Elephas maximus indicus: one gene and its partners. The main gene of each other region encodes a partner of the protein of the gene in region 2 in a complex. Links are inferred from orthologs where the notes say so. Each region holds a gene or a part of one and is shown on either strand. Other genes may lie near its edges.

Evidence for each region. Proteins that work in one complex are often made in the same cells at the same time.
Region 1: TAF1C (region 2) and TAF1B share a complex: the UniProt entries of both Homo sapiens proteins name them as parts of the transcription factor SL1/TIF-IB complex. The link is inferred for Elephas maximus indicus from reciprocal best matches to the Homo sapiens genes TAF1C and TAF1B.
Region 3: TAF1C (region 2) and POLR2H share a complex: the UniProt entries of both Homo sapiens proteins name them as parts of the pol I pre-initiation complex. The link is inferred for Elephas maximus indicus from reciprocal best matches to the Homo sapiens genes TAF1C and POLR2H.
Region 4: TAF1C (region 2) and POLR1B share a complex: the UniProt entries of both Homo sapiens proteins name them as parts of the pol I pre-initiation complex. The link is inferred for Elephas maximus indicus from reciprocal best matches to the Homo sapiens genes TAF1C and POLR1B.

Annotation. Positions count from the first base shown.
Region 1 is NC_064830.1:19,313,919-19,321,425, reverse strand, and holds the start of TAF1B (TATA box-binding protein-associated factor RNA polymerase I subunit B), read right to left. Parts: upstream 3,018-7,507; 5' UTR 2,968-3,017; coding exon 2,950-2,967; intron 1,197-2,949; coding exon 1,098-1,196; intron 1-1,097. UniProt on the Homo sapiens protein: Component of RNA polymerase I core factor complex that acts as a GTF2B/TFIIB-like factor and plays a key role in multiple steps during transcription initiation such as pre-initiation complex (PIC) assembly and postpolymerase recruitment events in polymerase I (Pol I) transcription.
Region 2 is NC_064839.1:50,141,689-50,149,114, forward strand, and holds the start of TAF1C (TATA box-binding protein-associated factor RNA polymerase I subunit C), read right to left. Parts: upstream 3,007-7,426; 5' UTR 2,865-3,006; intron 282-2,864; 5' UTR 281-281; coding exon 143-280; intron 1-142. UniProt on the Homo sapiens protein: Component of the transcription factor SL1/TIF-IB complex, which is involved in the assembly of the PIC (pre-initiation complex) during RNA polymerase I-dependent transcription.
Region 3 is NC_064819.1:30,728,468-30,736,332, forward strand, and holds the start of POLR2H (DNA-directed RNA polymerases I, II, and III subunit RPABC3), read right to left. Parts: upstream 3,018-7,865; 5' UTR 2,316-3,017; coding exon 2,243-2,315; intron 945-2,242; coding exon 861-944; intron 779-860; coding exon 685-778; intron 149-684; coding exon 65-148; intron 1-64. Other genes in the region: CLCN2 (chloride channel protein 2), read left to right, coding at 4,311-4,379, 6,653-6,809, 6,954-7,085, 7,352-7,480, 7,565-7,698, 7,798-7,865. UniProt on the Homo sapiens protein: DNA-dependent RNA polymerase catalyzes the transcription of DNA into RNA using the four ribonucleoside triphosphates as substrates.
Region 4 is NC_064835.1:41,808,813-41,816,342, reverse strand, and holds the start of POLR1B (DNA-directed RNA polymerase I subunit RPA2), read right to left. Parts: upstream 3,018-7,530; 5' UTR 2,949-3,017; coding exon 2,772-2,948; intron 1-2,771. UniProt on the Homo sapiens protein: Catalytic core component of RNA polymerase I (Pol I), a DNA-dependent RNA polymerase which synthesizes ribosomal RNA precursors using the four ribonucleoside triphosphates as substrates.

The DNA.
Region 1 (7,507 bases), on a different chromosome or scaffold from region 2:
GATTTCCTGGGATACTGACAAAGATGGGATCAGCATGGCTGGGGACCCTGACTTGGACTGTTAGCCTCCAGAACTGTGAGAAAATAAAATTCTATTCTTTAAGGCCACCCACTTGTGGTATCTGTGTTACAGCCGCACCAGGAAAGTAAGACAGCAGGTAAATCTGGTCCCTGTTACTCCATTTTGGCCAGAAGCAGAAGTCTTATTCCAAATTTGCCTTTCATAAGCCCACTTAGCGATGGCAATATTTGTTACACGTGTTCCATCATGGCTCTGTGCAGTCTGAAGAGTGCTGGCATGTTTAGTCTGTCCAACAGCAGGTTGTCCACACATGATTATTTTGGTTCTATTGCCCTTAACGTGTGGTAATCAGAAAAGGACCTAGCACTTCCAGCGTAAAAGTAGCCTCATTTTACCAAGGTTACACAGACCAGTGTGACAATTTCTATATTAAGAGGCAGGTATGCTGGGGTTAAAAGAACACTGGAGTCAAACGACTCAGATTCAAGTCCTGGCTCAGACACATTATACTTGTGTGATTTTGGCAAACGCACTCAACCCCTGTGAGGCCTACTTGCCCCATCTATGGATAGGCATAACAGTGTATCTCACAGGTTATTACAAGGTGGAAATGATATAATGGATAAGAAAACATTTTGTAATCTGTGAAGTACTGTACAAAGGTAAAATGATAACGAAGCATAATTTCCAATACTCTCAACGGTTTTCAATTTTTCTAATGCATCCCCTGCCCCAAACCTCTACACTATCTTGGCACGTTAAAAACTCTTAAATAAGTATTAACTAATATAAAGAAATGCATCGTCTTCTAAGTCCAATTTTAATTATTTCCCCTTAAACCACAGTTTAAATCAGGAAATCAATTTTAAATGTGGCTCACCATAATTTCAAAAACTCATCTTAAGTCTAATTTACAAATTCCTTAACCTATTTGTAAGCACTTGAAGACTTTACATTCTTGGAACTGTGACATTGCATGAGTGAGAAAAATACATCAATTCTTTGGGGATTATGCTACTATTAGGTTGAAAATGTATTTTTAAAACATAAATTCAAAAATTATATCTATTACTTACTTCTGTAACATTGTGGCAAGAAGTACAATAATATTTGCCTTCATCAGTAAGACCCCAAGAGACGGCAGCACACTGAGTACAGCGTTCTTTGAACTCTTTCTAGAGGAGAGGAGGATAAAAGAGGTGTTACTCTCAAACCACATTCAATACATTGTACCTAAACCTTGTATTTCTGCTTAGAGTATTCCCTGTCATTATCACAGAATATAGATTATTTGCAAATAAGTACAATAACGGTTCAGTCTCTTGATCAGTATGGAACCACTTTAAACTATTAGGGAAAATTTTCTAAACTTGGCCGTGAGGGAAAAAAGAAGAAAAGGTGGTAGGAGTAAAATTGGAAACAAAGAGAAAAGTAAATACAACTTCCCGAAAATGCTGTAAGAAAAAAGAAGACAAAAATTAAGTATAGAGAAGACTTCAAAAACAGAAGTAGCATATCATTGGGAACTTCCTCCAGGACACTACAAACACATACCCACCACAAAGGAGCTAGGTGTTTATTAGGGTACTTCAAGTTCTGATGTATTATTCAGCAACATAATGAGTACCAGCTACGTATGTGCCAGTATTTTACTAGGTGCTGGGGAGTCGGTGAGCAAAACAGATGTGATCCCTACTTAGAGTATAACAGGCCATTGATGAGTTATAATAATTAATTTTCTTAATCTAGCATTTACAGAACAGTTATTGCACATCTACTGCGATGAAGGCGTAACAATTGTGAGGATGGTGCAGGACCAGCCAGTGTTTCCTTCTGTTGTGCACAGGGATCACCATGAGTCGGAAGCGACTCAACGGCACCTAACAACATCACCGTACTGCTTGGGTACATCCAAACCAAAAAACCAAACCCAGTGCCATCATGTCGATTCCGACTCATAGCGACCCCATAGGACAAAGTAGAACTGCTCCATAGAGTTTCCAAGAAGCGCCTGGCGGATTTGAACTGCCAACCGTTTGGTTAGCAGCCGTAGCACTTAACCACTAAGCCACCAGGGTTTCCCTTAGGCCTAATTCTCTGACACTAAATTACTTATTCCCAATGTCTTTGGTGTTTGACTTAATATCCTTTATCTAAATGTAGCCCTGGTGGCTCAGTGGTTAAGATCTCGGCTGCTGACCAAAAGGTCAGCAGTTCAAATCCACCAGCTGTCCCTTGGCAACTCCATGGGGCAGTTCTACTCTGTCCTATACAGTTGCTATGAGTCGGAATCGACTCGACGGCAACGGGTTTGGTTTGGTTTAATTCCCTCATCCTCCCGTAATACCCTTAAAAAGTTGCTGCATTTTATGTAGCAGGTCAAAAATGAACGCAAAATTTATTTTAACAACTTGATAACGTTTTCAACTGTCATGACCTTGGGGTGTTCCAAAACTAGAATTTGGAGTCACGGCACCAGGCTGTGGCAGGAGTCCCAGAGGGACCGGCCGGGGTTACCTGGGTGCATTCTGGTTCCATCCGCTGCCCCGCCCTCACCCATCCCAGCATCAGAGGGAGCTTGGGGGTGGTCCCGTCGGGCGAAGAGGAGCCAGTGGGTGGCCACCTCGCAAAACCCACAACTTCGCCCTCCTCCGTAATACACCCACATCGACAAGCACACCGCCCTCCCTTCACCCACAACCTCACCAAGCCAGACACTCCAGCCTTTTTCCAAAAACGCGCACGAACGCTCCCCGGGACTGCCGGTCAACCCCATCCCGTTTCCCCGTTCTGCATCCTTCCAATCCGCCCTCCTTCTTCCAACGGCTTCCCTCACAGCTAGTCAGCGTCCTCCAACCCCTTCTCCTCAGCCTCACTCCCCTCCTCCCCCAGCTTTCCGTAGCCTATTGGCTACAACGGCCTCCTTACCGCCTCGTCTAGGTCCATAACTGCTCCGCTCCTGCCCCTACGGCCGCCGCCCCCGCCGCAAAGGCCCGTTACCCCGGCAGCGAGCGCAGCTTCCGGGAGCCACGAGAGGAGCCCTCCGGCCGGAAACAGAACCCCCTGACATTGGATTCCGGCGCCTTCGGCCCAGGTGAAACCCCTGTTCGCTCCGGAAGGAAGGAACCCAAAGCCCCCATTTGAGAGCACCCCTTGACCTAGGCTTGGTATGAACCAGTAAGAAACTGAGCGGTGCCTACTGCTGAACTAATTCAGTCATGCTTTGTTTTGACGGCCTTTCACTCCAAGACCCACTGATTTATTCAGGCTGCCAAGGGAGGCAGTGGGGTGCCACGTTCCAGAACATGGACTCGAACCGTTTGAGTTCCACGACTGGCTTTCTCCACCTCTTACTGGCACAGGAGTGTGTACAGCGTTAGGTGCCGTCGAGTTGGTTCCAAGTCATAGCCACCCTGTGTACAACAGAACGAAACACTCTTGGGTCCTGCGCCATACTCACAATTGCTATTATGCTTCTAAAGCTCATTGTTGCAGCCACTGTGTCAATCCACCTCACCGAGGGTCTTCCTGTTTTTCGCTGACCCTCTACTTGACCAAGCATGATGTCTATCTCCAGGGACTGATCCCGCTTGGTAACATGTTCAAAGTACCCGAGACAAGTCTCACCATCCTTGCTTCTAACGAACAGTCTGGCTATACTTCTTCCAAGACGGATTTGTTCATTCTTCGGGCAGTTCATGGTATATTCAATATTACTCGCCAAAACCGTAACTGAACTGCGTCAATTCTTCTTGTCTTTCTTATTCACAGGCATCGGGATTTGGAAGAAAAGAAAGAACACAGGTTGCTGAGTCAGACCTGCGTTTCTAATCACATCTTTTCTGCTTGTTTCTCAGTTTCCTCCTCTGCAAAAATTAGATGTTGCCTGTGAATCCCTTATAACTGAGCCATAGTAAGAGCTCAATACGTTCAGCGATTATTGTTCATACATTGAACACATTTATTCCTTGATTTATTCATTCAGTTCTTTCATTCAACAGGCACTGTTTTAGGACCTGGGGATTTAGCAGTGAAGGAAAAAAACAAAAGTCCCTGCCTTCATAGATTATATTCTTGTGGGGAGAGAAAAAAATAAATAAGAAAAAAATATATGATATGTTAAAAGGTGGTGAGTGCCAAGAAGAACGATAAAGCAGGAAAGGAGAATGGGAGTGCTAAGATAGATAACTGCAGGGAGTCGACTCTGACAACTTAACGTACAACAGAAGGAAAAGCTGCTGGTCCTGCGTCATCCCTGACCCTCTACTTCACCAAACGTGATATCCCCCTCCAGCGATTGATCCCTCCCGGTGACATGTCCACACAAGTGAGTCAAACAATGTTCTGTTGTGATCCATACTGTATTCATTGGCCGGTTTTTCAGAAGTAGATCAGCAGGCCTTTCTTCCAAGTCTGTCTTAGTCTGCAAGCTCTGCTGAACCTGCCCACTATGAGTGACCCTGCTGGTATTTGAAAGACTAGTGGGATAGCTTCCATTATCACAGCAACACAGGAGCTACCATAGTACTAAAACTGACAGATAGGTAGTTTCAATTTTAAATGGGGTAGTCAAGAAAGATCTCACCGAAAAGGTAATATTTGAGACAAGGGAGGAAGAGCCATGTTGAGAACAGTGTTCCAAGGCAGAGGTAGCAGTGAGTACCAAGGCCCTGAGTCCTGAGCCTTGTGTCATGTCGTTTAAGGATCATGAAGAAGGTCAGTGAATGGCTGGATTGGTGAGCTAAAGGGAGTGTCGAAAACAATGCCTTCGTAAGGTCTTCAACTTTTATATGGAAAACTTAGGGAAGTCATTGGAGGAGTCACATGATCTGACTTATGTTTAATCACTCTGGCTGTTGTGGGAAAAATAGAGTGCTGGGGAGGAGGGCAGGGCAAAGGAAGGGGTGGAGAGAGAAGTTAGCTGACTATTGCAACAGTCCAGGTAAGATATAATAGTAGCATGAACAAGATGGAAGCAGTGGAGACAGTGAGAAGTAGACAGATTATGGACAGATAGTACTTTGAAAGTAAAACCAACAGGATATTCTGATGGCCTGGAAGTGGGCTGTGAGAGAAAGAAAAGAGGCAAGGATGACTTTAAGATTTTTGACTTTACCAGCTAGAAGGGTGGAGCCATCATCAACTGAGTTGGGATGGATTGTGGTTGCAATAGTTTGGGAGTAGGATAGGGGAGGAATAAGGAATTTGATTTTGGCAGTTTTAAGTTAGAGATGCTTATAAGACATCCAGGTAGAGTGAGAAGGCAATTGGACATAGGAGTTTAGGATTCGGAGGAAAGTTTTGGATTGTTGCTAGTTGTTGTCAAGTCAGTTCCAACTCATGGTGACCCCATGTGTCCAAAGTGGAACTGCTCCACGGTGTTTTTAAGGCTGTGACCCTTCAGAAGGAGATCACCAGGCCTGTCTTCTGAGGTGCCTCTGGGTAGGTTCGAACCACCAAACTTTCAGCTAGTAGTTGAGTACTTAACTATTTGCACCACCCAGGAACTCCTTAAGTTTTGGGTTGGAGATATACATTTGGGAGTTATTTCTGACTAAACCAAAAAAAGCAAATCTGTTGCCATCGAGTCAATTCTGACTCATGGGGACTCCGTGTGTTACAAAGTAGAACTGAGCTCCATGGGTTTTTTTTTTTTTTTTTTTTTGGGCTGTAGTCTTTACAGAAAGGGGCCTTGGTGGCACAGTGGTTGGTTAAGTGCTTAGCTGCTAACTGAAAGGTCAGTGGTTTGAACCCACCAGCCACTCTGTGGGAGAAAGATGTGGCAGTCTATTTCCATAAAAATTCAAAGCCTTGGAAACCCTATAGGGTAGTTCTGCTCTGTCATAGAGGGTTGCTATGAATCGGAATCAGCTCAATGGCAATGGGTTTTGGTTTCTGGAATCTTTACAGAAGCAGATTGCCAGGCCTTTCCTCAGCAGCCCTATTGGGCACGTTCAAACTGCCAGCCCTTCCACTGGTAGTCAAACACAAACCGTTTTCAGCACTCAAGGACCTTATCTCTGACCAGATGATATTTAAAGTTATAAGTCAACGGAGTGGCTCTTCTCTCACTTCACATTCACTTGTCAATTCATTTATTTCACAAAGATTCATTAAACACCCAGCATATGCCAAACACTCTTCCAGCTCTTAGGGAATGAAAGGTAAACAAGACAAATTCACTGCCCTCAAGAAACACCTAGTCCAGTGGGACTGACTCCTTATTTTAATATAAAAAAAGACCACCCATTGCTGTGGAGTCCATTCCAACTCTTAGCGACCCTACAGGACAGGGTAGAACTGCCCCATCAGGGTTTCCAAGGAGTGGCTGGTGGATTTGAACTGCCAACCTTTTGGTTAGCAGCTGAGCTCTTAACCACTATGCCCCAGGTCTCCTATTTTAAAGTGAAACTAGATAAATTCTCCTTTGCAGTTGCATCACCCATGTCATTCACCAAGGCTTGATTCTGTACAGCTTCAAACTCCTTCCAAAAAATGTTATCCACCTGCCAAGCATTAAGTTTTGCCATGTAAAAATTTTCAGTTGTAAGCCTCCTATTTTCAAGGCCAGCCCTGATTTAAAATGTTGAAATATTGGACTGGCTGTTTGTGGAATAGGGAGAGTGATAAATATTAAACTGAACAGAAATTAATGTATTGGTCTAGACTATAAGCTCCTTGAGATCAGGGACTTCTGTCTTTTTATTTATCGTTGTATGCCCAGGGTCTATAACATTGCTTAGCTCACATGATTTTTAATAAACCTTTGTTGAATGAATGAATGACTTTGTAAGAATTTTATGTACATGTAAAGTATTTAAATAGCCTATCTGTATTTTTAAATAATATTTTATTGTGTTCAAGGTGAAAGTTTACACAGCAAGTTAGGTTCCCATTTCTATACACATTATTCAGGGATATTGGTTACATTTTTTTACAATGTATCATCGTTCTCATTCTGGTTATACCATTTTGAGTAGTCTAGTTTCCCTGCCCCCTTAACTTCTCATCTTTGCTTTAGTGTAATTTTTCACCATTTAGTTTTTTTTTTAAAGGAGTTCATTACTCACAGGTGATGTCCTTTATTTTAGAAGTCAATCTGTTATTTAGCTAAAAGGTGACCTATAGGGTTAACTTTGGTTTAAGGATTAAAGACTATCTCAGGGTGATCGTCTCAGGAAGTCCTCTAGTGTCAACTGGTCCAGTGAATCTAGACTTTTTAAGAATTTGAGTTCTGTTCCACAATTTTCTCCAGTTCTATCAGGGTCCATCTATTGTGGCCCTGATCAGAATGATCATTACTGGTAGCCGGGCACCATCTAATTCTTCTGGTCTCATGAAAGATGAGGCCATGGTTTGTGTAGACTGCTTTGTTCTCTGAGTCTTTGGTTTCCTTTTTTCTCTTTTGTTCTAAACAAGTAGAGACCAAAAATTGTATCTTAGATGGCCACTCACAAGCTTATAGGACCCCAGACACTACTCACCA
Region 2 (7,426 bases):
GGATTGTGGCTCAGCCTGTGTCTTTGCTGATTTGTGCTAATGCCACCCCATTCTGCACCCCTGCCAGGTGGTGTGAGGGCAATAAAAGAGGGACCAAGGGGCCCGCCCTGGAGCTGCCGGGGCTCCTTCCTGTCATCCTTACCTCAGCACTCTGGGGCTGGGACTCTGGCAGGGTCAGTGCATCTCTCCAGCTGCACATAAAGGACAGATTGGGGACACTGCTCAGACCAAGGGGGCCGCTCATAAACAGCGTGGGGCGGAGAGAGCTGGGGAAGTCCATCCTGGAAAACAAGAACCACAAGTCACGCTGGCCTCCCCAAGACTAGAATTCAACAATGGCTTCCAGGGCTCCTGGGAGAGTGACAGTGCCCTAATAGGAGTCCGCTTTCTTTAGGGACACCGATAATAAAAACAAACGAATACGTAGCCTAACACTGGGTAGCAATGAGTGCCACGTTAAGACAAACCAGCCAACCACAAGTGGGGAGACAGCAATGGGCTGAAGCTGCGGTTTTAGCAATGGTACCAAAGACAGCCTCATTGAGGAGGTGCTGGGCGAGCAAAGCTAGAATCTAACGAGGGAAAGAGCCACGCAGACAACTGCGAAGAAAACAAACAGCGAGTGCAAAAGCCCTGGGCGGAAAAGTGCTCGGCAAGTTTGAGAAACGAGGAGGCATGTAGTGAAAACAGATCACGTGAGGAGAGCGTTAAGGGATGCCCATCCAACAAGCGGCGAGGGATGTTTCTATCACAGCTCTTATCAGCCTGCATTATGATATGATTACGCAGTTTGCAGCCCTAACTCCCAAGGCTTGGCTCAAGTTCCCCCAAAGCCAGGGACTTAGTCTTGTCCACCTATCTTCCCACTGTCAAGCACAGGGCCTCCCAGAAAACACACTGATTGACTATGTTGAAGAAAGATAAATTTATGTCAAAGGGTTTTGGGAATACAAAGTGCTCTAGAATACGAAGAGCAGCTAGGTCACCCCTGCCTCTTTTATTAAACGCAAAAGGACGGCAGTGCTCACTTACTGAGCCCCACATCTCCAGACATGGCATTATAAGCTTCACACTTCTTTCTATTGGCCCTATTGTGGAGTTCAGGAAACTGAGGCATGTTAGACAGTAACTTATCCAAGGTCAACAGCTCATAGTGCCAGAGTCAAGGCTTGATCCCCCATGCGAGTCAAAGTCTGTGCTCTGAACCACTGCATCCTTGTGCATCCAAAACCAAACGTTCACATTAGAGTCCAGTAAGCAGAAATCTTTTCCCTTGGAACCACCATTGCGTTTTATCAGTTTATGCTGTAACCTCTGCACATCCAGGTACTCTCAGCACCACACACTGCCTATCACATAGTAGGTTCTATATAAATACTTGCCAGCTAAATGAATGTTTCTCAGAGCACGTATCAGCCTCATCCTAATTGTGATTTATGTGTCTGGCTTGTCTCTCCACTAGACTGCAAACTTTCTGAGGACATGAACTGTGTCCATTCATTCCTGAGTCCCTGATGTCTGGCTGCTGCTATGATTTTCTTTCCCATGTAGGAGAGGAGAGAGGAAGGGATCTAGGAGGTGCTCAGTGAATTTTTACAGGATCTTTACAGAAGCTCTAGCTTCTGTAGGTCAAGGGGCACCCAAGCCTCTCCAAGGTGGCTGCATCCCCCATAACCCAGCAGACAGAAAATGTCTCCAGCTCATTTCTCCGTTCCCTGGGCTCCAGCCACGCTGATCTACTTTTGGTTCTTCACCGTGCCTCTTCTCACCACAGGGCCTTTGCACACTGTTCCTCTGCTTAGACTGAGTCCCAGCACTCAGATTTGGAGTCAATGATCTCCTACTCAGGGAATCCTCTCCCAGTTTCTCCAATCCTACCCTTCTCCCACAACACCTTGTACCCTTCCTCTAGGGCATTCACAGCAATTTGTGGTTAAATACATAAGGAGGAGGCTGTTTGATTCTGCTCTAATAGGTCTTGTGATAAATGAAGTGCATATATTCTCAGTGCCTTGGTATTTGCCACTTGGTAATAATCAGTCCGTATCCCTGGTGGCAGAGTGGTTAAAGGCTAGGCTACTAACCAAAAGGTCGGCAGCTCAAATTCACCAGCTACTCCTTGGAAACCCTATAGGGGCAGTTCTACTCTCTGCTATAGGGTCACTATGAGTCAGAATCGACTTGACAGCAATGGGTTTAACAATCAGTACATATAAGTTGTAGAAACAAATCTAGGAATGAATGAATGAGAGAAAAGAATCAAACAGCCTCAAAAAACCCAAGCCAACTGAGAGCGCTGGTGGAATCCAGGACTTGCCTGGGCAAGCAGCCTCGACCACCCCTGGCCGGCTTCCCGCCCTCCCTCTAAGCTTTCCATGCCCTTCCTACGTCCAAGGCTGAAGAAATAGGACAGGTCTGGCTGAATCCAAGACCGGGAACAGCAAGAAAGTCGCAGAAAATGGTAAAGGGGATACTAACGGTCTCTCCTCGTGCATCTCCTACTCGACCATGTCCTCACGCATATCCCTAATCCAGCCTCCTCGACGACCTCTTCCCACTCCACCTCCAGGCCCCACATTTTCAACCCGACAAGAGCAGAGGCCTCATATCTAGTGCTACATGCGCCAGGCAGCTGCTACGACACTTAACAATTTGTAGAATCTGCACTACTCCGTGAGCTACCGGCAGCTGCTAATCACCCATTCCGCAGATAGTTAAGTGACTTGTCCCAAAGCCACACAACTTGGGGCCTGAGCGCCCGCCCGCCGGGTAAATTCGAGCTCTCCTGTCGGACCCAAGTCCCGGTCTCCCGCCGCCCAGTGGGCAGCGCTCTCTCCTCCCGTCTGGGCGGTGCGCGCACTTACGTGCCCTGGCCTCGGCGTACTCGTCTGGGAAATGGGCCCCTGCGCAACGCTCTCCTGACCCCTGTCCCGCGAGAGAGCCCAAAATTTGCACCCACGCGCCAGGGAGTTCAACGGGACCGCGCCCACAGCGTGAATTAATAATTTTCCGGGACTGGCCGGAAGTGCCGCCTCGGTAACAGGAAGTCCCGCCTCCCAGCTCGGCCTCACGGGCGTCGGTGAGCGCCACCTCCCGGGTGGAGAGGGAATGGGGCGCAGGAAGTACCGTGGGAGGTGGGGACCCTGAAGTTCCAATAGTGAAGGCCAGTCAGAACTGCGTTCGAATCCCACATCTGCTTTACCAAACTCATGTTTGATATGGTTATTCTATTTAATTAATTCAGTATACATTTACTGTGCACCTACTGTTGGGCCTCATTTGCTGTTTGCACCACCCAAGGACTCCTAGCTTAAGGAAGACCTACAATAGTTTTAAATTTTAGATCTAATGATCCCGTGGGGCTGTTACAATTATAAGCACCTTCAGTCATCAGAGGAGTCCTGGCGGCACAGTCATTAGCTCACTGGTAACCAAAAAGTCAGGGGTTCAAACTCACCAGCCACTTCGTGGGAGAAAGGCATGGCAATTTGTTCCCATAAAGATTTGCAGCCTCGGAAACCCTATGGGGCAGCTCTACTCTGTCTTATAGGGTCGCTGAGTCGGAGTTGACTCCATAGCAGTGGGTTTTTCATTTACCAGATGAGGACCCCTGGCTCAGAAGGGTTAAGCTGCTGACGGAGGGGTGGTATGGTGGGGTGTGTTGGGGGGGTGTTTATGGTAGCAGCCAGGATGTAAGGATGAACTCCCCAAGGCCGCCAGCCGCTCTTTCCTGGTCTTTGATCCCTAGGACAACCCAACGGTCGAGAAGGGGCTGCTGGGAGAGCCACACCCCAGCCCATTCCAGAGGCCCCACCCGGAAGTGAGAATTCCGAGGTCAGCCAAGACTGTCGTCCCATTGGCCTGGCAGCGGCCAGAAGATCAACCTTCCCATTGGCTGGACAGGCAGGGGAGGGGCTCACGGTGCGCACCCTCCTACAGCTGCCCGGGAGACAGACCTTCTCATTGGCTGGGTGGCAGGGGCGGAGCTTGTGGTGCCCTGCTGGGAGACCAGCCTTTCCATTGGTTGGGCAGAGGGGCGGGGCTCGAGATGCGTTGCCAACCGCGTGCTGCCCACGCGGGAGCTGCCGGTGTATGTTAAAGTGCTCGCTCAGTGCGAGATCCGGCGCAGTGCGCCTTCTGGAGCTCGGGTTCAGACATGGCCTCTCCGGCCAGCGCGGACAGTGTTCGCAGGAAGCCCCGCCTGGCAGCGTCGTTGCAGATCAGTCCCGGGCCCATCCCTTGGCGGCCCTCGAGTAGTCTGGGCCAAGATCCCTTGAAGCCCGCACCCAGCCCCAGCGTGAAGGAGGACGATGAGGGTGGCAGGCAGCCCCAGGCTTCAGCGGCAGAGGATGGTGGGCTGGGACTGGGGGCGGAGCGGGGGCAGGGCAGCCTGGGCACGGGAGCTTTGGGGGACGGATGGGGACGTCCCCAAGGGTCTCTGTTTCTCCCGCAGGGGCAGCCGGGGACTTCCCGAAGGCAGCCGGGCAGCTGAGCCTGCAGCTCAAAAACCCACCCCCAGGCAAGGCCGTGGACTTGCTCACGCAGTATGCAGCCAGCCTGGGTGTCTCGCTGATATTCCGAGAGAATAAAACGGCAGGTGAGCACCTGGGTACCAGGTATTCGGTGATGGGGAGGGGGTTGGGGAAGGTGGACACTGGCCTCCGTGCTCTGAAGACCGGCTGATGACCACCTGACCCCACACGAAGTGAGAGGGGGACTGTGAGCTGCACAGAGCGTGGACATTTGAGGTGGACTCTCCTTCCTGTGAGCAGCTACACACCAGCCACCATTAGACATCTTATGTGGCAGAGCCATGGCAAAGGAATATGATCCCCATCCAAAGCTCAGGGAGGCTGATGGACTTGCCCCAAGCTACCTACTTAGCACACTTTTTTGAGGGCCAGTTACATGCCACTTGCTGTGCCAGCATTGAAGATATTTGAAGGAGGGTGACACCATAGAAGTATAATCATTACCCATGTCTTTTCTCCTTCCTCAACAGAACCACCAGCTCACCAATACAAACAGATACACATAGAGCAATACACCAGGTCCTAAGGCCAGGCTACCAACCTTAAGCCAGCACATTGTCACTGTCTAAGGAGGTTTTAAGGAGGTAGTAAGGGAATCATTCCTCAAGCCGTGGCAACATTATAAAACCTTCTAAGAGAACCCCAAGGAGTCCCTGGGTGATGCAGACAGTTAGTGTGTTTGGTCGCTAACCAAAAGGTTGAAGGTTCAAGTTCACCCAGAGGCACCTTGGAAGAAAGGCCTGGTAATCGACTTAAGAAAAATCAGCCATGAAGATCCTGTGGAGTGCAATTCTACTCTGACACACACGGGGTTACCATGAGTTGGAATTGACTTGACAGCAGCTGGTAAGAGAACCCCATATGAACCACTCAATAAGAGACAATGATATATAACAGTAAAGAGTCCTGGGTGATGTGCTAGGCACTGTTTGAAGGGCTTCAGGCATGATAACTCATCCAGTCCTCACAAGGACTCTTGAGGTAGGTACGGTACTGTTAGCATCGTTTTACAGACGGGGAGACTGAGGCCAGAGAGGTCACACAGAGAGTGAGTGGTATGCCATTGATGGTGCTTGTTTCCACCGTTTACATGGGAAGGCATGGTTTTTAATCATTAACTTTTTAATTTCGATGATAGTATGAAGAACTCCCGTAAACTCGTCACCCAGAGTCATCAGTTAGCATTTAACACATTTGCTTTGTGCGTCTCTCCTCCTCTATATGTTTATCTATATATAAATACTCACATTATTTTTTCAAGTAATTTGGAAGTTAATCATAGACCCGCATGCCCCTTTATCCCTAAACACCTCAGATTGTGTTTCCTTAAGAACAAGGATATTCTCTTATATAACTATAGTATAATTATCAAATTGCAGAAATCCAACATTGATGCAATCACCTGTTGCTGTCAAGTTGATTCTGACTCAAAGCAACGCTATAAGCAGAGTAAAACTGCCCCATAGGGTTTCCAAGGAGTGCCTGATGGATTCGAACTGCTGACCTTTTGGTTAGCAGCCGAGGTCTTTACCACTGCACCACCAGGGCTTCATTGCTAATAACACTGTTATTTAATTACCACTCACATTGAAATTTGTCCCAATAATGCTGTTCATGGCCATTTGTTCTCAGTCCAGCATCGCATGTTACACTTCGCTGTCCCACCTCTTGAATCCCCTGTGATCTGGAACAATTCTTCACAGTCTTTGTCTTTCATGACATTCATGCTTTGAAGAGCAGGCCAGTTTTGGGTTTGTCTGTTTCCTTGGGATTAGGTTCAAGTTCTGCATTATGGATGGGAATGCACACAAATGGTGTCATGTCCCTCGAAGGACATCACACCAGGAGGCATGTGATTTTGGTTGGTCCTGAAGCAGGTGGTGCCAGCTGTGATGCTTGATTAGGGCGATGTCTGCCAGCTGCCTTTGCTTCCCCCTTGGGTTTAAAGGGGAGGTATTTGGAGAGCATGGAAGTATCCTGTTCCACATCACACGCTGTTACTTAGTGACTTTAGCAAACACGATGAGCCTCACCAGATCTCATTTTTGCTGGCTGCAAAGCGGTGGTTTTCTAATGCCAGCATCCCTTTTACATCTGTTTGTTGGCATTGTCAAGGCTTTTTTTTTTTTTTTTTAGTTGTGCTGTAAGTGAAAGTTTATAGTTCAAGTTAGCTTCTCATACAAAAGTTTATACACACATTGTTATGTGGCCCTACTTGCTCTCCCAGTAACGTGACAGCACACTCCTTCTTTCTACTTTGGATTTTCTGTGTCCATTCAACCAGCTGCTGTCCCTCTCTGCCCTCTCATTTCGCCTCCGGACAGGAGCTACCCATTTAGTCTCATGTGTCTACTTGGGCTAAGAAGCACTCTCTTCACGAGTATCATTTTATGTCTTATACCCAAAGCCAGTGCCGTCGAATCAATTCCGACTCGTAGCGACCCTACAGGACAGAGTAGACCTGCCCCATAGAGTTTCCAAGGAGCGCCTGGCAGATTCAAACTGCCAGCCCTTCGGTTAGCAGCTGCAGCACTTAACCACTGCGCCACCAGGGTTTCCATTTATGTCTTATAGTTCAGTCTAATCTCTGTCTGAAGAGTTCACTTTGGGAATAGTTTCAGTTCTGGGCTAACAGAGTCCAGGGGCCATGTCTTCTGGAGTCCCTGCAGTCTCAGTCAGACCATTAAGTCTGATTTTTTTACTAGAATTTGAGTTCTGCACCCCGCTTTTCTCCTACTCCATCAGGGACTCTCTGTCTTATGCTCTTGTCAGGGTGGTCACTGGTGGTAGATGGCACCATCTAGTTCTTCTCATCTCAGGCTGATGGAGTCTCTGGTTTATGTGGCCCTTTCTGTCTCTTGGGCTAATATTTTCCTTGTGTCTTTGGTGTTCTT
Region 3 (7,865 bases), on a different chromosome or scaffold from region 2:
CACGGCCCCACTTCTCAGAACAGGGAGGGGGGAAAAAGGATTCTCACGAGACCACAGAACTTACAGGCGTGTTGCTGCTTCCGTAGAAGTTTCATCGCCCTCAATCCTATACACCTTCCCATACATTACATACTCGAATTGGTCAGCCCTGTGGAATAACAGTGGCAGTTATTCTTAATGGACAGTAATGAACAACAAAAGGCCCTTTAAAAATGGCAACTGGTAAGTAAGTGCCAGTATTTTAAAAACAGGCCCTTTACAACTACGATGCCGTCTAGTCCTTGGCAACATTATGACCTGGACCTGACCATCTCTATTTTACTGATGAGAAAACTCAGGCTCAAGGAGGTTACTCAGCAAATTAGAGGTGGAGCTGAAATTTGAACTCAGTGGCGCTCCAAAGCCTTGCCACACACCAAGCTCCCTCCCAAGACACAAGGTCCACATAACCTAGGTCACTCAGTGGTTAGTCCCTGGGCCTTCAAAGAACTGCAACTCAGAAGCTTGTAATCATGCCTGTCGACAAATGCCCAGTTGTCTGAATTAATTAAGTGTAGCACATTCCTTATTACTCAGATTCTGTTAATAATCACTTATTCCAATAATTAAATAAGAATCTTTCTATACCGCTTCTCTGCTTAAGTCTTCCACGTATATTTCAAGCATTCTCTCCTCCACTCTCACCTGGAAGGCCGGTCATCTGTGGGGTTGTATTCACCATCATCCAGTGTACCGTCTTCATACAAGGTACTGGCTATGACCAACCGGAACTTGTCACCTGAAAATAATGGCAACATCTGAAGGTGAAGACAAGTGAAATGGCAAAAAGCCCCTTGCTATGGTCTGTGTTCGGCACGTACCCAAGTCGACGGGGTAAATCTGAATGTTCACGTCTAAGATGAGATCCATCTTGAATGATTCACTCTCACAATGCAGTCGAGACACTGGCAGGAAGAGAGAAAGAGTGGCAAAGGGAACTGCCAGGTCCAGGGCAGACCTCGCTTTGGGGATTACACGTAACAGAACACTCAATCTAACCAGCCTGCATCTACCAGTCTCTCACCTACGCTTATATAAGGGCAAACTCAATCAGAACTACATATGCAAAAAGGAAAACCGTTTCAAGGGAACAGAATGCCCAAACATGACTAACATCACGGAACAATTTATATAGAAATTGTCAAATGGGAATGTAGTAAACTGTGTAAACCATCATCAAATATAAAATAAAGTATTACTAAAAAAAAAGGGGGGGGGAGAGAAAACCAGAAAGGTACTCTGGTAGGGAATAATATCCAGGTTAAAGGTCTGCAGTTCAAATCCACCAGCAGCACCTTGGAAACTCAATGGGGCAGTTCTACTCTGTCCTACAGGGTCACTATGAGTCAGAATCCACACCAGGGCAATGGTTTTTTTTGTTTGCTTGTTTGTTTTAGCAAGAAACAACCACCCAAAAGTTTAGTCTTTCTGTGCTAAGCCTTACATTGAGGGGCTTATCAGGATGTTTAAGAACCAGTATCTGCCTGAAAGCACATCTCAGTCTCCAGGCAAAGGAAGGGACATGGGGGAGAAACGATTATTGATCAATGACAGAATAAAGAATTAACGTGAGTTAATCCTAACTCAGAGACTGCTTCTTAAAGAGTTAAAAAAAAAAAAAAAAGCTTTGCCCTTGAGTCCATTCCAACTCATAGCGACCCTATAGGACCGAGTAGAACTGCTCCAAAGGGTTTCCAAGGAGTGTATACGGTGGATTCCAACTGCCGAACTTTTGGTTAACAGCTGTAGCTCTTACCCACTGGACCTCCAGGATCTCCAAAGGCAATACAAAATTACAGGCTCTGACGTCAGATCATTCGCTGTTCAGCCTTGGGCGGGCTACTGAACCTCTCAGAGCAAAACGGGGAAGGCATCCCACACCTCATGGGGACTGTTGAGAGGAGCAATTAAGACAAGGGGTGTGTAGGGTGCACAGTCGTGTCTTACGGAGTAGGTGGCGACTGTTATTACGAAAGACGCCCCGGAGTTTGCCAGGACCAGGACAAAAAGCCACCCAGCCACTGGGCACAGCATGTGTGAAACAGGGAAAGCTCCAAGTCTCAGTCTTCTCGTCTATAAACGTTTCCTGAAGGAGGTCCCAACATCAGGGCCTGCAGGTAGGGGCAGGCCACGTAAGCTGGACGACGTGGGGCCCGGAGGCGTGACCCCTTTCCCCCAAACCGCCCCTACAGACCTTACGTACCTCGGTCAAATTTCTTCCCCTCTGGGTCAATGTCTTTCACATCGAAAATATCTTCAAACAGGATGCCTGCCATAGTGAGGGGGGCGCTGAAGGGTGCTGAGCGCGCGACCGAGACGGCGGGGGGGAATACACACAACCCCTCGCGTGGGTTAGAAGCCAAGGCAAAGGGAGAGCGCCCAGAGAGCGGCCGGGAGGTAGCGGGACAGCACACGCGCAAGGGCTTGCAGTACCGGCCCCACTTCCGCCACCTCCCTCTCGGGGTATGTTAACTTCCGCCCCGAGTGATTGCAGCCGAGACGCTTCTGTACTGAGGGCGGGTCTCGGGTCCAGGTGATTCCGCCCCTGGGCGGGAACGCAATAGATCCCGCCTCCGGTCGAAGTGGCACGGATTCTCGCGCTCAGGGGCTCCAATGCGCCCTCTTCAGAGGCGGGGTCCTCAAGAATGTAATGCATGGGGCCTATCCCAGGCTAGGACCTTGATCCTTGGCCCAGAGAAGCCCGGCCCTAGCCCTACCCTTTCGGTCCGCGTGCCCGCCGAGGACACAGTCCGGGCTGGGACGGGCAGAGCAGAGCCCCGGCCTCAGCGTAGGAGCGGGGCAGGGCGCAGTGCCCAGCCACTCCAGCTGGCCCTGAGGCCCCCCGGCCCCAGGCCGGCTTGGCCCTGCTGGATGTCACCCGAGCCGGATCCGTCCATTTTGGGAATTTGCCAAGATGTCACTATGGGGAAGAGGAAAGCCCGCCGTGCCCTCTCCTCCGGCACAGCGTCCGCCCCCCACGGCCCTTGTTCCCTGGGCCCTGCTCCCTTCCCTACACCCCGCCTCAGCCTGGCACTAGCCCCCGCAGCCTGGTACTGCCCATTCCTCCACCACTGCCCTGTCCCTCTGGACACTCATTCTGGCACTGGCCACCCCTTCAGATACCAGCTCTTCCAGTTTCCTGGGCAGTGCCCCCTCCCCCCGCGAACCGCCTCTGCCTCCACGTGCCCCTTCACCACACACACACGCACACTATCTCTGCCCGTTTCCTGGGCACTGCCGTCTCCGCTCTAGCTACCCTACCCCTGACGCTGCCCATCCAGTCTGTGCTCACCCCACCCTCTGCCCTATCCTTCCCCGAACTCTGATAGGGAACGCAGAGCCCCAGCAAGCCGTTCCCCCGTGGCAGCGAGACATCAGCAGCAACTCGGATTTCTCCTTGGGCCCTGCCAAGGAGAAGCAACCTCTGCCCCTACACGCCCGCCTCCCAGGAGTGGCCTCTCAGGCGCCCAGACCTCCCTTCCCTCGGGCCTCGCCTCTCCCCTCCCCACCTCCACCCCCGCACAACCCCAGGCCAGGTTCCTCCAGGTGCACCTCCCTGGGGAAGCCCGGAGGAAGGGAAAAAGAGACCGAGGGTCTCAGCAACTAGCATCCTCCTGTCCCCGCCCCTTCTGGGCCCAGAATTCCTCTCCGAGTCCCCGCAGCTTTGCTCTCACCCCCGGCGGCGCAGAGAGGCCGCTCCCGGCCCGTCTCAGCCGCTTGCCCCTACCGAGGAGAGAGAGGGTGCCGCTCCAGAGAAAAGAGTTGAGCCCCAAGAGTCCGATTTAGACGGCTCTGCAGCCCCGGACCCCGAGCTCGACTGAGCTCCGGCGTCCCTGGCCCAAGGAGCAGCGTACCCCGCCGGCCTCTCCACAGGCCAACGGACCCGCCCCCGCCGTGGCCCCGGGCGCCGTCTCTGTCCCCGGCCTCGGCGGGAAGGGGACGCGTTCTCGCTAGGCCCCAGCGCCCCCTGCCGCCTCTCGGAGCCTGGAAGTGGCCCCAAAGCAGACCCCGGCCGGGCTGGGCCGGCCCCTCAGGATGGGCGGGCGGGCGGAGCGCGCAGAGAACACCGCCCTCGGCCCGCCCGCCGGGGAGAGTACAAGAGCGGGAGGCTGCGCTCACGGCGCCCGCTCGGGACCTGCTGCACTCTGCGCTCGGCAGCTCGGGCTGCGGGCCGGGTCCGGGTCCGGGTCCGGAGCGAGCTCTGCGGACCAGGAGCCGAGTGCCGGCCGGAGCCCGAGCTTCAGCGGCAGACGAGAGGGCAGTGCGCGGAGATGGCGGCCGGGGCGGTGGCGGCAGAGGCAGGGATGGAGCCGCGGGCGCTGCAGTACGAGCAGACCCTGGTGAGTGAAGCGGTGCCCGGCCACGAGCGTGCGCTCCAGGACCGCGGCTCCACGTTACCCTCGGAAGCGCTGGGAGCGGGGCCTACCTGAACCCCACCCAACCTTCTCAGCTGGGGAAACTGAGGCTCGGGGGTCTAAGAAGCTGAAGGGCCAAAGGGGCCGAAAGCTGCTTGCAGGTTTCTGGCCGAGGCTGGGGGCCTGAAGAAGACAAGGATACCAGGTACTTGTCCCAGGTGCCTTTCTTTCACGACACACACACAGACACACACGTTTTCTTCCTCCTTCCCCTCACCACCTAAGCCCAAGCCTCAGCGCCTTCACTCCGCCCCTCATGACCACTCACACGCTTGAACTTTCTCTCCCAGTGTCCCCACTGTCCAAGACAGCCCTTGTGTTCCCACTATGTGCATGGCACGGTGACAGAGACAAGGGGGTGTTGGGACATAATCAGACCCAAACCCAGCCCCAGCCCTACCCCTGAGGCTTTGCAAACCAGCATTAGCAGGAACCCTTCTGCCCACTCTGGAAAAAGAAAAAAAAAAAGGTGGCCTGCCACCTTGGGGGACAGGCGCTTTGGGTCTGGGAATTGGGACTTTTGTCCATGCTGACTCTAGGTATCCAGTCCCCACCTTCCCCCAGGGTGTCCCTTGACCTCATTAGAAGCAGGGGTCCTGGGGCTCTGAGCTGACTCATGGCCTCCACTGTCATTTAGTGTGTGAGAAGGCATTTGCCTCTCATTGTCACTGGGGCAGGGGACCAAGCCCCAGGGAAGGCAATAGTCTCTTCATCTGCTTGGCCTGGAATTTGCCCAGGAAGGTGGCAGGAAGGGAACATCTCAGGGAGAAGGGGGGCTAGGCTGTAACTCAGGCTGGGAGGTGCCCAGTTAGGAGAGTCACTATATAAAACAGGATGGCAGGGGGAGGTGGCAGGAGTGGTGCTGGAGTGAGGGGAAGGGAATGAGACGTCGGGATAGGGCAAGAGGTTTCAATCTGCTCAGGCTGATAGGGACAGTGGTCAAGGCGGAGGCCAACTGGGCACCTGCTTCTGAAATGGAGTCTGTCTCCAGCCACGTCTCCACCTCCTCAGGCTTCCCCCCCTCCACCTCTGGAATGAGCTAGCGCTGAGGGTCAAATGCTCTCCCCGGGTATTCTCTCTCCAGCCTCTCCCCCTTCTGCTCCTGATTCCTTTGTCTTTCTCTCACATACTGATTCCCACCTCCTACTCTATCTGCCTCTTTATGAGCAGCTTTCTCTCTGTTCTCCTCCGTGCTTCCTCCCCATTCCTGTCTCCTTTCTCTTCTCCATCCCTTCTTCTCACCTTTCTTTTCCTGCTTTCTCCTCTTTCTTTGCTGTGTGCTTCGCCTTCCTCTCCTAGCTCTCTGTCTCTCACCCTCTCTGTCTCTATCTTTCCCTCCCTCTCCCCTCCCCACCCCAGCCCCAACAGGAGCCCTTTGTGTCCCGAAGCTGGGCGAGTGGCTGCCAGAATCTACTCCTCCCCACCCCCCCGACACATGCCTAGTTTGGCAGGTCTAGCCATGGCTCTGGCGCGGCAACTCTCCGACTTTCCCTTGTCCTGTCCCATCGCCCCAGCATCCAGTAACAGCCCAGCCACCAGCAGCTCTGGTGTCCCCCAAACCGCCACTGGGCTCAGGGCAGCTCCAGAATGGGGCTGAGGCCACCAAACACTCTCCACCCATCCTGAGAGCAGCTGGCTGACAGGCTGGTGGGGGTTGGGGTGGGGAATAGGGACAAGGGGATTAAGGGGGGTGGGAGGGTGCAGCAGAGTCAGTCACAGGCCAGAGGCCCAGCAAGAACGTGATAAGGATTGGGGCCCCGCATGTTCCTAGGCCCAACTCTGAGCTGCCCCCAGCTCCATGAGGCCGTTATCGTTGACCTTAAGCCCTTGACCATCCCTTATTCCCTGACCTTCCCTCCTCCCACTTTCAGACTCTGTGCCTTAGGTTTTTCAGTCTTTTCCTCCTCTGGGGCCTTCCCTCCTACTCCCCCAAAGTGCCCCACCCCCAAGGCCTGTGAGAAGGGGACTGATTATTCTGCCACCCCCAGAGCTGTGTACCTTGGCTGTCCCCATCGCTCCAGCCAAGACAGCCCTCACAGCCTGAGTGTGCATTGTTCCCACACCTCAAGCCAGAGTGGGAACTGTGGGCTCAAGAGGAGCTATGCAATGTGGAGGCTGGGAAGAGGGGATGTGAGGCCCCAGGATCACTCCCCACACAGCCCACATCTGCTAATGTCCCACCTTCTCCATTGCTCCAGATGTATGGCCGATACACTCAGGACCTTGGGGCCTTTGCCAAAGAAGAAGCTGCTCGGATCCGCTTGGGAGGGCCTGAGCCCCGGAGGGGCCCCTCCTCCCCTCGGACTTCCCCAGAACTCCTGGAATATGGACAGAACCGTTGCACTGGGTGCCGCAGTGAGAACCAGTTGGGCTGGGCTGGGCTGGGCTGGGCTGGGCTGGAAGAGGTGGACGCCATTAGAGCCACCCATGGGCAAGGTAGGTTAGAAGGGTAGGCGCCCCTTGGTTCCAGCCTCTCACCCTTCCCTTTCCTGCTCCCAGTCTGCTCCGTCCGCTGCCACAAGTTCCTGGTGTCCAGGGTCGGTGAAGACTGGATCTTCCTGGTCCTGCTGGGACTCCTTATGGCACTGGTCAGCTGGATCATGGACTATGCTATTGCTGCCTGTCTGCAAGGTGAGGACAAGAACTGGCAGGGGCCACCCTGCTTCCGCTATGCCACACTTGTCCAGGTGTCTTAGCCACTTGGCCATTGACCACTTCCTTCTCTCACTGAGCCTCCTTCCTATACTGGTCTTTGTCCCAGTGAGTGCCCTCTAGGGCCCCTTCCCACTGCCTGAGCCCAGGCTCTGTCTGATATTCCCTGGGACAACTCTTCACATGTCCCAGTGCCCCGGCAAGGGTGGGCATCGGGAGCCCAGCAGCATGTCTTCTTTCCACAGCTCAGCAGTGGATGTCCCGGGGCTTGAACACCAACATCTTGCTCCAGTACCTGGCCTGGGTCACCTACCCCATCGTCCTGATCACTTTCTCAGCAGGATTTACACAGATCCTGGCTCCTCAGGCTGTCGGTACAATAGGAGAGAAGGGGAGGGCAGAGGGGGACCCCTGAAAAGAACACCTCAGATGACTCTCCTGGGGATGTACCTCTCCAGGGTCTGGCATCCCCGAGATGAAGACCATCTTGCGGGGAGTGGTGCTGAAGGAATACCTCACTCTCAAGACGTTTGTAGCCAAGGTCATCGGGCTGACCTGTGCCCTGGGCAGTGGCATGCCACTCGGCAAAGAGGTGACTGCAGGCTGGGGGATAATGGAGCCCCTCCCCAGTGGGAGAATAGCCAGGCCAAGGTGGGCCTCTACTCCACTCACCATCTGCCCCCTCCCCCAGGGCCCTTTTGTGCATATCGCGAGCATGTGTGCCGCCTTGCTCAGCAAGTTCCTCTCCCTCTTTGGGGG
Region 4 (7,530 bases), on a different chromosome or scaffold from region 2:
GGGTCCCGATGAGTCAGAATCGACTCAGCGGCAGTGGGTTTAATCCATTTATAAGAAGCCCTGGTGGTGTAATGGTTAAGCGCTCGGCTGGTAACTGAAAGGTTGGCAGTTTGAATCACCAGCTTCTCTGGGGGAGAAAAGGCCTGGCAATCTGTTTCCGTAAAGATTACAGCCTAGAAAACCCAACGGGGCAGTTCTACCCTGTCATATAGGGAGGCTATGAGTCAGAATCGACCTGACAGCACACAACAATCCATTTATTCTATCCACTTGGCAGAGACAAGTTCAGGTTAAGACTCAGTTTATGACTTTTACTTTTAGTTTTTTCTATTAAGTATGAACAACTTCCTGGCCTTAATGTCAGAATAATGAAAATGCTGAAAACTGAGCCAAGAATACAAAGGGGGTCCTCCACCCTCGAGTGAGTTCAATTTACCAGTCACCAAGTAGGAGATGCTACTCTAGACATGGATATACAAGAATAATTAAGATACCCATTAACCCACTGCCATCAACTGCTCCTTGAAAACCCCATGGGGCAGTTCTACTCTGTCCTACAGGGTTGCTATGAGTTTTTTTTTTTAATTCTTTATACCAGTAGATTTCAAAATGTATTCTGACCCTTTCAGGGTGCCCATGAGGTCCAAGCTATTTGCATAGTAATCCTAGGACATTATTTGTCTTTTTCACACGCATTCTCTCATGTAAGCACAGTGGAGTTTTCCAGAGGCTACGTGAAGTGTAATGATGTCAGCGTTCTGGCAGCTAGTAGCATGTGTGTTTGTGTATTCTCATTTCTAAAATTTTCTAAGGTAAAGAGTTTAAGGCATAAACACATGCATTTCCAGAGATTAACTCAAGTTACCATGCTCTTACTAGTTACCTTGGGCTGTACTCACAATAATCTCTGCAACTTCATTATCATCCAATAAATTGTTGTTTTGAAATTATGAATGATCTTGTGCCGACTTGGAAATACAAGTAGTACACTTTTGTTGTCTATTTAAAAATTTTGAAAACTTTCCAAAATTTTTAAGTTTTATCGAAGGCTGGTGTTATTTTAGAATACTTTATTCTAAAATAAATTTTGTAATAGATTTCATACTTAAGGGTGGACTGTTAAAGAAGGGAGAAAAGATTCACTTTCTCAAGCCACAGCTGCACTAGCGATCTCTAGAGATGCTGAATAGACAGCGCAACAGATTACCAGCTCTCTGACTCACAGAAGTCAGGAATGCACTTCTAAGAGGCTGGATACAACCGTTGATTTTGACTCCAGGCGACCCTACATGTGCAGAATAGAACTGCTCCACGGGGGTTTGGAATCGACTTGTTAGCAATGGGTTTGGTTTTGTTTGTTTGATCCTTTCAGAAGCAGATTGCCAGGACTGTCTTCCCAGGTGGCTCTGAGTGGTTTCAAATCACCAACCTTAAGGCTAGTAGTTGAGCGCTTAACCATGTGTGCCACCCACAGACTGCTAATTGTTAACTATATATATATATATAAAATTTTCTCACAGACAAGATACAGTAAGAGTTCAGGCACGACAGAAATATTTCCCATTGTCTTCCTCAAAAAGGCTAAGGAGCCTTAATCTTCAAAGAAACCTTAATGGCTCCCACATTATTTGCAGAACAGAGTTCAAGTATCAGAAACTGGCAATCAGAGACCTCCACATTCTCTCCATCCTTTTCCTGACAACACAAGTCCAACCTGTTCAGTGTTCCCCGAGTAGCTGGCTCTGCTCCTTCACGTCCCTGGAGGGAAGCATTCTCCTCTTCCTTTAACCTCAAACGCCTAGATTTGCTGTACCTTCTATGCTGGCCACAGTTCCTTACACTACCCCTTGCCAGGGCAGTTAAGAGTATTGGCCCCGAGGGCTTTCATGTCCACCTTCTTCTTATGTGGCCTAGGACCTGGAGACACTGGGATGGTAATTCAGTGAGACCTTCCCGCAACATCCTCACCTGAACTCTGGTTACACCTATGCTACCTAAGAGAGCTATTACTACACTTTCTACTCAAAAGTACGTCCCATTTTCTTGGACAGGTCAGAAGAAATCTTGCCTTTATGGCTCATTTACATCTTTCTCAACACCTGCCAAATCCGAGCAGGTGCCTCGTAGTTTCTCTTTAAAGCTCTGAGAGAAAACCTGAAGAACGACCGTATACTGACTTCACAGTCTGTCTACGACTAGTTTCGGAACCTTTGGAAGTAAGTCTTCGCGGAACACCAAGAAGTTAGCGTTGAGAACGGCTGGGAAGCCCAGACGGGTCACTTCCTCACTCTCACAACACCCACAATCTTTCAAAACACCACAGTCTGCAATCCCATATAAACCCAGCAATCACAAATGCACTTTTCCCTACTCGACTCGGCTCCAGGTCTTACGAGGCAAAGGACTGCGTCCGTTTTACATTGTTTTGCTCTCTGGCGTTCCCTGGGGAACCGATCAAGGGGCTCATATTTGTGATTACATGGTGACCTCGCGGCCATTTCTCCGGAACCGCTGGCCCGGCCCGGCCCGGCCCGGCCCGGCCCGCCGCCCTCGACCCCCGGCAGCAGGCTGGACGCCTCACGCACCCATCCGCATCCGCCACGCCCCACCCGCACCCACCCGCACCCGCCGCACCCCACCGCACCCCGCGCTCCAGGCCCGCCGCCTTCCAGCCGCAGCGCCTCGCTCCCTCCCAGCCCGCCGGCCCTTCTCTCAGCCCACCTCCAGCTTCACCTCGTAACGGCAAGCGGCGAGGGGGACGCCGCGCTCACCTGCACTGCATGGCTGAGTCCTTCTCGCACCGCGTAGTTGAAGGACTCAACATGGGCCCGCGTCAGCTCCTGCAACGCTGGCTTTTGCTGTTCCCGTGGGATCGCGTAAGCGGGGTCGGTCAGGTGCTTTAGGCTAGGCCCGCTAGGCAGGTTCTGCCACCGGCCGCCGGGCTCCATGTGTCCGTCCGCCTGCACGCCGAGCTCCAGGGGCCGCTCTGCGGGCGCCAGGAAGAATGGCCGGCTCCCGCGGCCTGCTGGGAAATGTAGTTCTTCCGTGCTCCGTCCGCTCTCGGCTCTACCTCTGCTGGGTCGACTTGGAACTAAAACCGCAGAGTGAAGGGGCCGGTTTAAAACTCACAGAGCTAGAGCGTGGCCTGACCGCCCCTTCTCTTCTCCTCTCTTCCGCTGCCCCACCCATGTCTTCCCTGCTAAAGACAAGGAGGTGGACAATTGCTCCACGCCCAATTAGGCCTGGGAACCCTCTGGCTCTCATTCGCTCCCTCAGTCAAATTGGGACTTAGAAGAGCAGTCTTCAAATATTCCCTTCTATTCCCCTGTCTGCTTTTTGAACCGATGCTGATTATTATGACCCAGGGGCGACACCCAGTTGGTGTCTTGGCTTCATCCAAAAGGCAGGTATTAGTGGTTCCGCAGGCTGACTGCTCTCCCTGCCCAAATTAGGTCGTGAAGGCCCATCAGTGGGGGCCGGTGAGCAGTGGTGGCCCATGCAATCCTCTCCCGCTGTTACCAATTGCCAATCTGACACAAAGGGTCCTTGTCTTTTCCCGAGTAAGAATACAGGTGAAAGACAAACTTTATTTTCAGCAAGCTTTATTTTGCTTGAGTCAAGCAAAGGGAGTCAGTGAGGATCTAAGCCTCTCTAACAGACTGACTCGAAAAGGCAATCAAGGTCTTGTATGGGTTTGGTGGAGACAATAGAGTAATGAATATTTAGTGGGCTTCTTTCAAGGGTTGGGTACTTCCCAGAATGACTGTGCATGTTAATTAGATTGCGCTTAGGTTGCCTGTGCACATCTGGAAACCAAATGGTACCTGCTGATATTCAAGATGGATTCCTCTCGGCAGCCCTTGGCATCACTTACTATGGGATATAGGGCAAGCACACTGATCTTTGGCACTACATCACCATCTTTGGAGGGATAAGGAAGGTTAAACAGCCGTCACACTTTGTTCTGTGCATGTGGAAGGCTGTAAAGGGGGAAGGGACTAGAAAAAACACTAAGAAGGAGATAGTAATTCCTGGGTCGTTTCAGCCTTTTCTCATGTTGACAGGGTGTGGTTCCTGTTTACCCAACTTCTAGCTGGTAATCTTTTAGCAGCTCTTTTGTTCCACGAGCACAGTTAATCCTATCTGTATCACCATCACCTGGACCAGAGTGCTGGGGTGGGGTGGGGTAGGGTGGGGTAGGGTGGAGTGGGCAGGGAACCCTTACAGGGAAAAAGTGGGGAGGGGGCCACCAAGGGGACTTCCAGCCTTAAGATCTTTTGAATCTGTATGAATCATTTATCTCACCAGAATATGGATCTATCAGGGAATGCTAGCAGATGTCTTTCAACTTCATCGTTTTGTGGGTGCCTTAAAAAAAATGTTTTTGAAGTATAATGCCATGCAATAAACTGCACATATTTAAAGTGTACTAGTTGCTCTTTGGAAACCCTGGTGGTGTAGTGGTTAAGAGCACTGACTGCCAACCAGAAGGTCGGCAGTTTGAATCCACCAGGCGCTCCTTGGGAACTCTGTGGGGCAGTTCTATTCTGTCCTGTAGGGTCAGTATGAGTCGGAATTGACTCGACAACAGGGTAGTTGCTCCTTAGAAGCAAGGATGGTGAGACTACATCTCACGTATATCAGACATGTTATCAGGAGGGATCAGTCCCCGGAGGACATGCTTGGTAAAGTAGCGGGTCAGTGAAAAAGAGGAAGACCCTCAGTGAGATGATTGACACAGTGGCTGCAACAGCGGGCTCAAGTATAACAATGATTGTGATGATGGTGCAGGACCAGGCAGCACTGGGCAGCGTTTTGTTCTGTTGTAGATAGGGTCGCTGTGGTGAGGAAGAGTCTTATAGACTACTCCACACTATTTGTGTCTTTCCACAATGTCTTTATTAAACAGTTTTTTTTAGGTCTTACATTAATTTCTTCAATTCATTAAGCACAAACACACATTAGTAGGTTCTTGGCTATCCCAGACGCCAGAGATCTCAGATCACCAAAAACCAAAAAACCAGACCCAGTGCTATTGAGTCGATTCCAACTCATAGCAACCCTATAGGACAGGGTAGAACTGCCCCATATAGTTTCCAAGGAGTGCCTGGCAGATTCGAACTGCCGACCCTTTGGTTAGCAGCTGTAGCCTTAACCACTATACCGCCAGGGTTTCCGATAACCAAAGGAGGGGAGAAATGAAAGACACAGGTCAAACTTACGGCAAGCGAGGACAGCAATTAGATGGTGCAGTTCAATGATGCCGTTCAATGGTTGGTGATGATCTCCAGTCTTAATGGTTAGCGGTGGTCTCTGGATCATGCGTAGCTCCCTGTGGGCTCATGAACCTTGTAGCAGGAAGGTCTGCAAGTAAGCCCGAACCAGCTGCCGCTACCCACTGCTTGGTGACCGTTCCGTTCAACGTCTCTTGAGCTAGGAGCAAGCACAGGTGAGCTGCCGCAGCCCACTGCTGCCTAGTTCTCAATGTATGACCGAGAGCAACATCTCTTGAATTTAGGAGTAAGCCCGGGCGAGGTGACGCAGCCCACTGCTTCCTAAATTCTCAGCGTATGACTGAGTGGCTCTGGGAAGGCTCCAAGCACTGTCGTCTCCTTCTGTTGCTTCTTTTGTACACGTTGGAGCTCTTTGAACTCATCTGGTTGATGATGATAAAGTCTGATGCCATTATGTGGGTTTCTTCTTGATGAAGTCTGTCAGTCTCTCTGGTTATCCTGATATGACTATCTTCCTTAGTCAAGCTCACAATGTCTTTTTATCTCTTGGGCCTGCTCCCCTCATTATAGACTGAACTGAAGATGACAGCCACACTTGTCCAGACATGTCCCAACATGTCTCTTAAGCCTGCTTTCCACAGTCGCCATGAATTGGAAGCTACTCGATGACACCTAACAAGTTGATAAGTTCTGACATACATATATGCTCATGAAGCCATCACCACAATTAAGATAATGAACTTATCCACCACTCCCAAAAGTGTCCTCCTGCCCCTCCTTCATCCCCACTCTCCTACTTAGGGACTCCCAGAGGGCAGGTGAACCAGGGGATTATGGCAGGAGCAATCATTCCCATAGCATATGTAAACCTGCGGCTGTTGAGTCCATTCCGACTCATGGCAATCCCAAGTGTTAAAGAGTAGAACTAAGTTCCATAGGGTTTTCTTGGCTGTAATCTTTATGGAAGATCACCAGGCCTTTCTTTCGAGGTGCCACTGGGTGAGTTTGAACCACCAACATTTTGGTTAGTAGTCGGACTCATACCACTTGTACCACCCAGGGTCCTTACCTTTAAAAAAAGCAAAAAAGAACTCAACAAAAAAAGAACACAACAAAAATCTTTAAAGGGTCAACCACCCTCATTGTCTCCTCACCCATCCTTTGTCACCTCCCCCACACCCTTCAATCCACCCCACCTCACCGTTCCACTTGGACTGCTCTTTACAAGTGACCTCCATCTTGACCTTTCAGCAGCATTTAATTCAGTTAACCATTCCTTCCTTCTTGAACGCTTTCTTCACTTTCTTACAAAACAGCACTCTATCCTGGTTTTTCTCCTACTGCCTTCTAGTCTCCACTGCCTTCCTGACCTTTGAATACTGCAGTGTCTCTAGGCTCAGCCCTAGCCTTTTTCTCTTCTCTTGCTTCCTTCACTCCCTAATGAGGTTATCAGCCCCTCCTATGCCGTTGGAGTCCCACCCTCTGCCTTGAACTCCAGATAAAACCAAAAAAACCAAACCCATTGCTTTCGAGTCAATTCCAACTCCACAGTAGAGCTGCCCCAAAGGGTTTCCAAGAAGCGACTGGTGGATTCAAACTGCTGACCTTTTGGTTTGCAGCCAAGCTCTTATCCACTGTGCCACTGGGGCTCCAGGTAAGTATATAGTATTTAGCTCTCTACCCAGCGCCTTTCCTAGATATCAGATAGAATCTCAAACTTCCCAGATGTCTAATGTCTGAAGCAGCACCTCTCTCTCTCTTTCTAGTTTTGAAACATTAGCTGATCTTGCTAACACCTTCCTTGCTAACACTTTAGTCCAAGGGTTTCTCAGCATCAGCACTATTGATATTTTTTGGACCCAATAAGTCTTAGTTGTGGGGCTGTTCTGGGCACTGTAGCGTGTTTAGCACCATCTCTGGCTTCTACCCACTAGTTGCTGGTATGAGGCAGGCAGTGGCAGGATGGCAGATGGGAGGAGCTAAACCACCACTTCCCTCCTTCAAGGCCCAGTGAGACTGCAACGACCCCATGACATCGGGATCATCACCGGAGCTGGCTACCAATCCTGATGGACCAAGCCCCTGAACATGCCCTGAAGAAAAGGCCACCCCTACTCTGTTTCCTCCCCATATAAACCCCTATGCCTGTTCAGGAGCCATCTTGGTCCCAGTGTGTTCCTTTCCTTGGCCAACTAAATGAAGTTTACTTCTTCCGCTTTCACCAACCCTCTGCCTTAAACTCTAGATAAAACCGAAAAAAACAAACCTATAGCATGCCCCCATTGTGACAATCAAC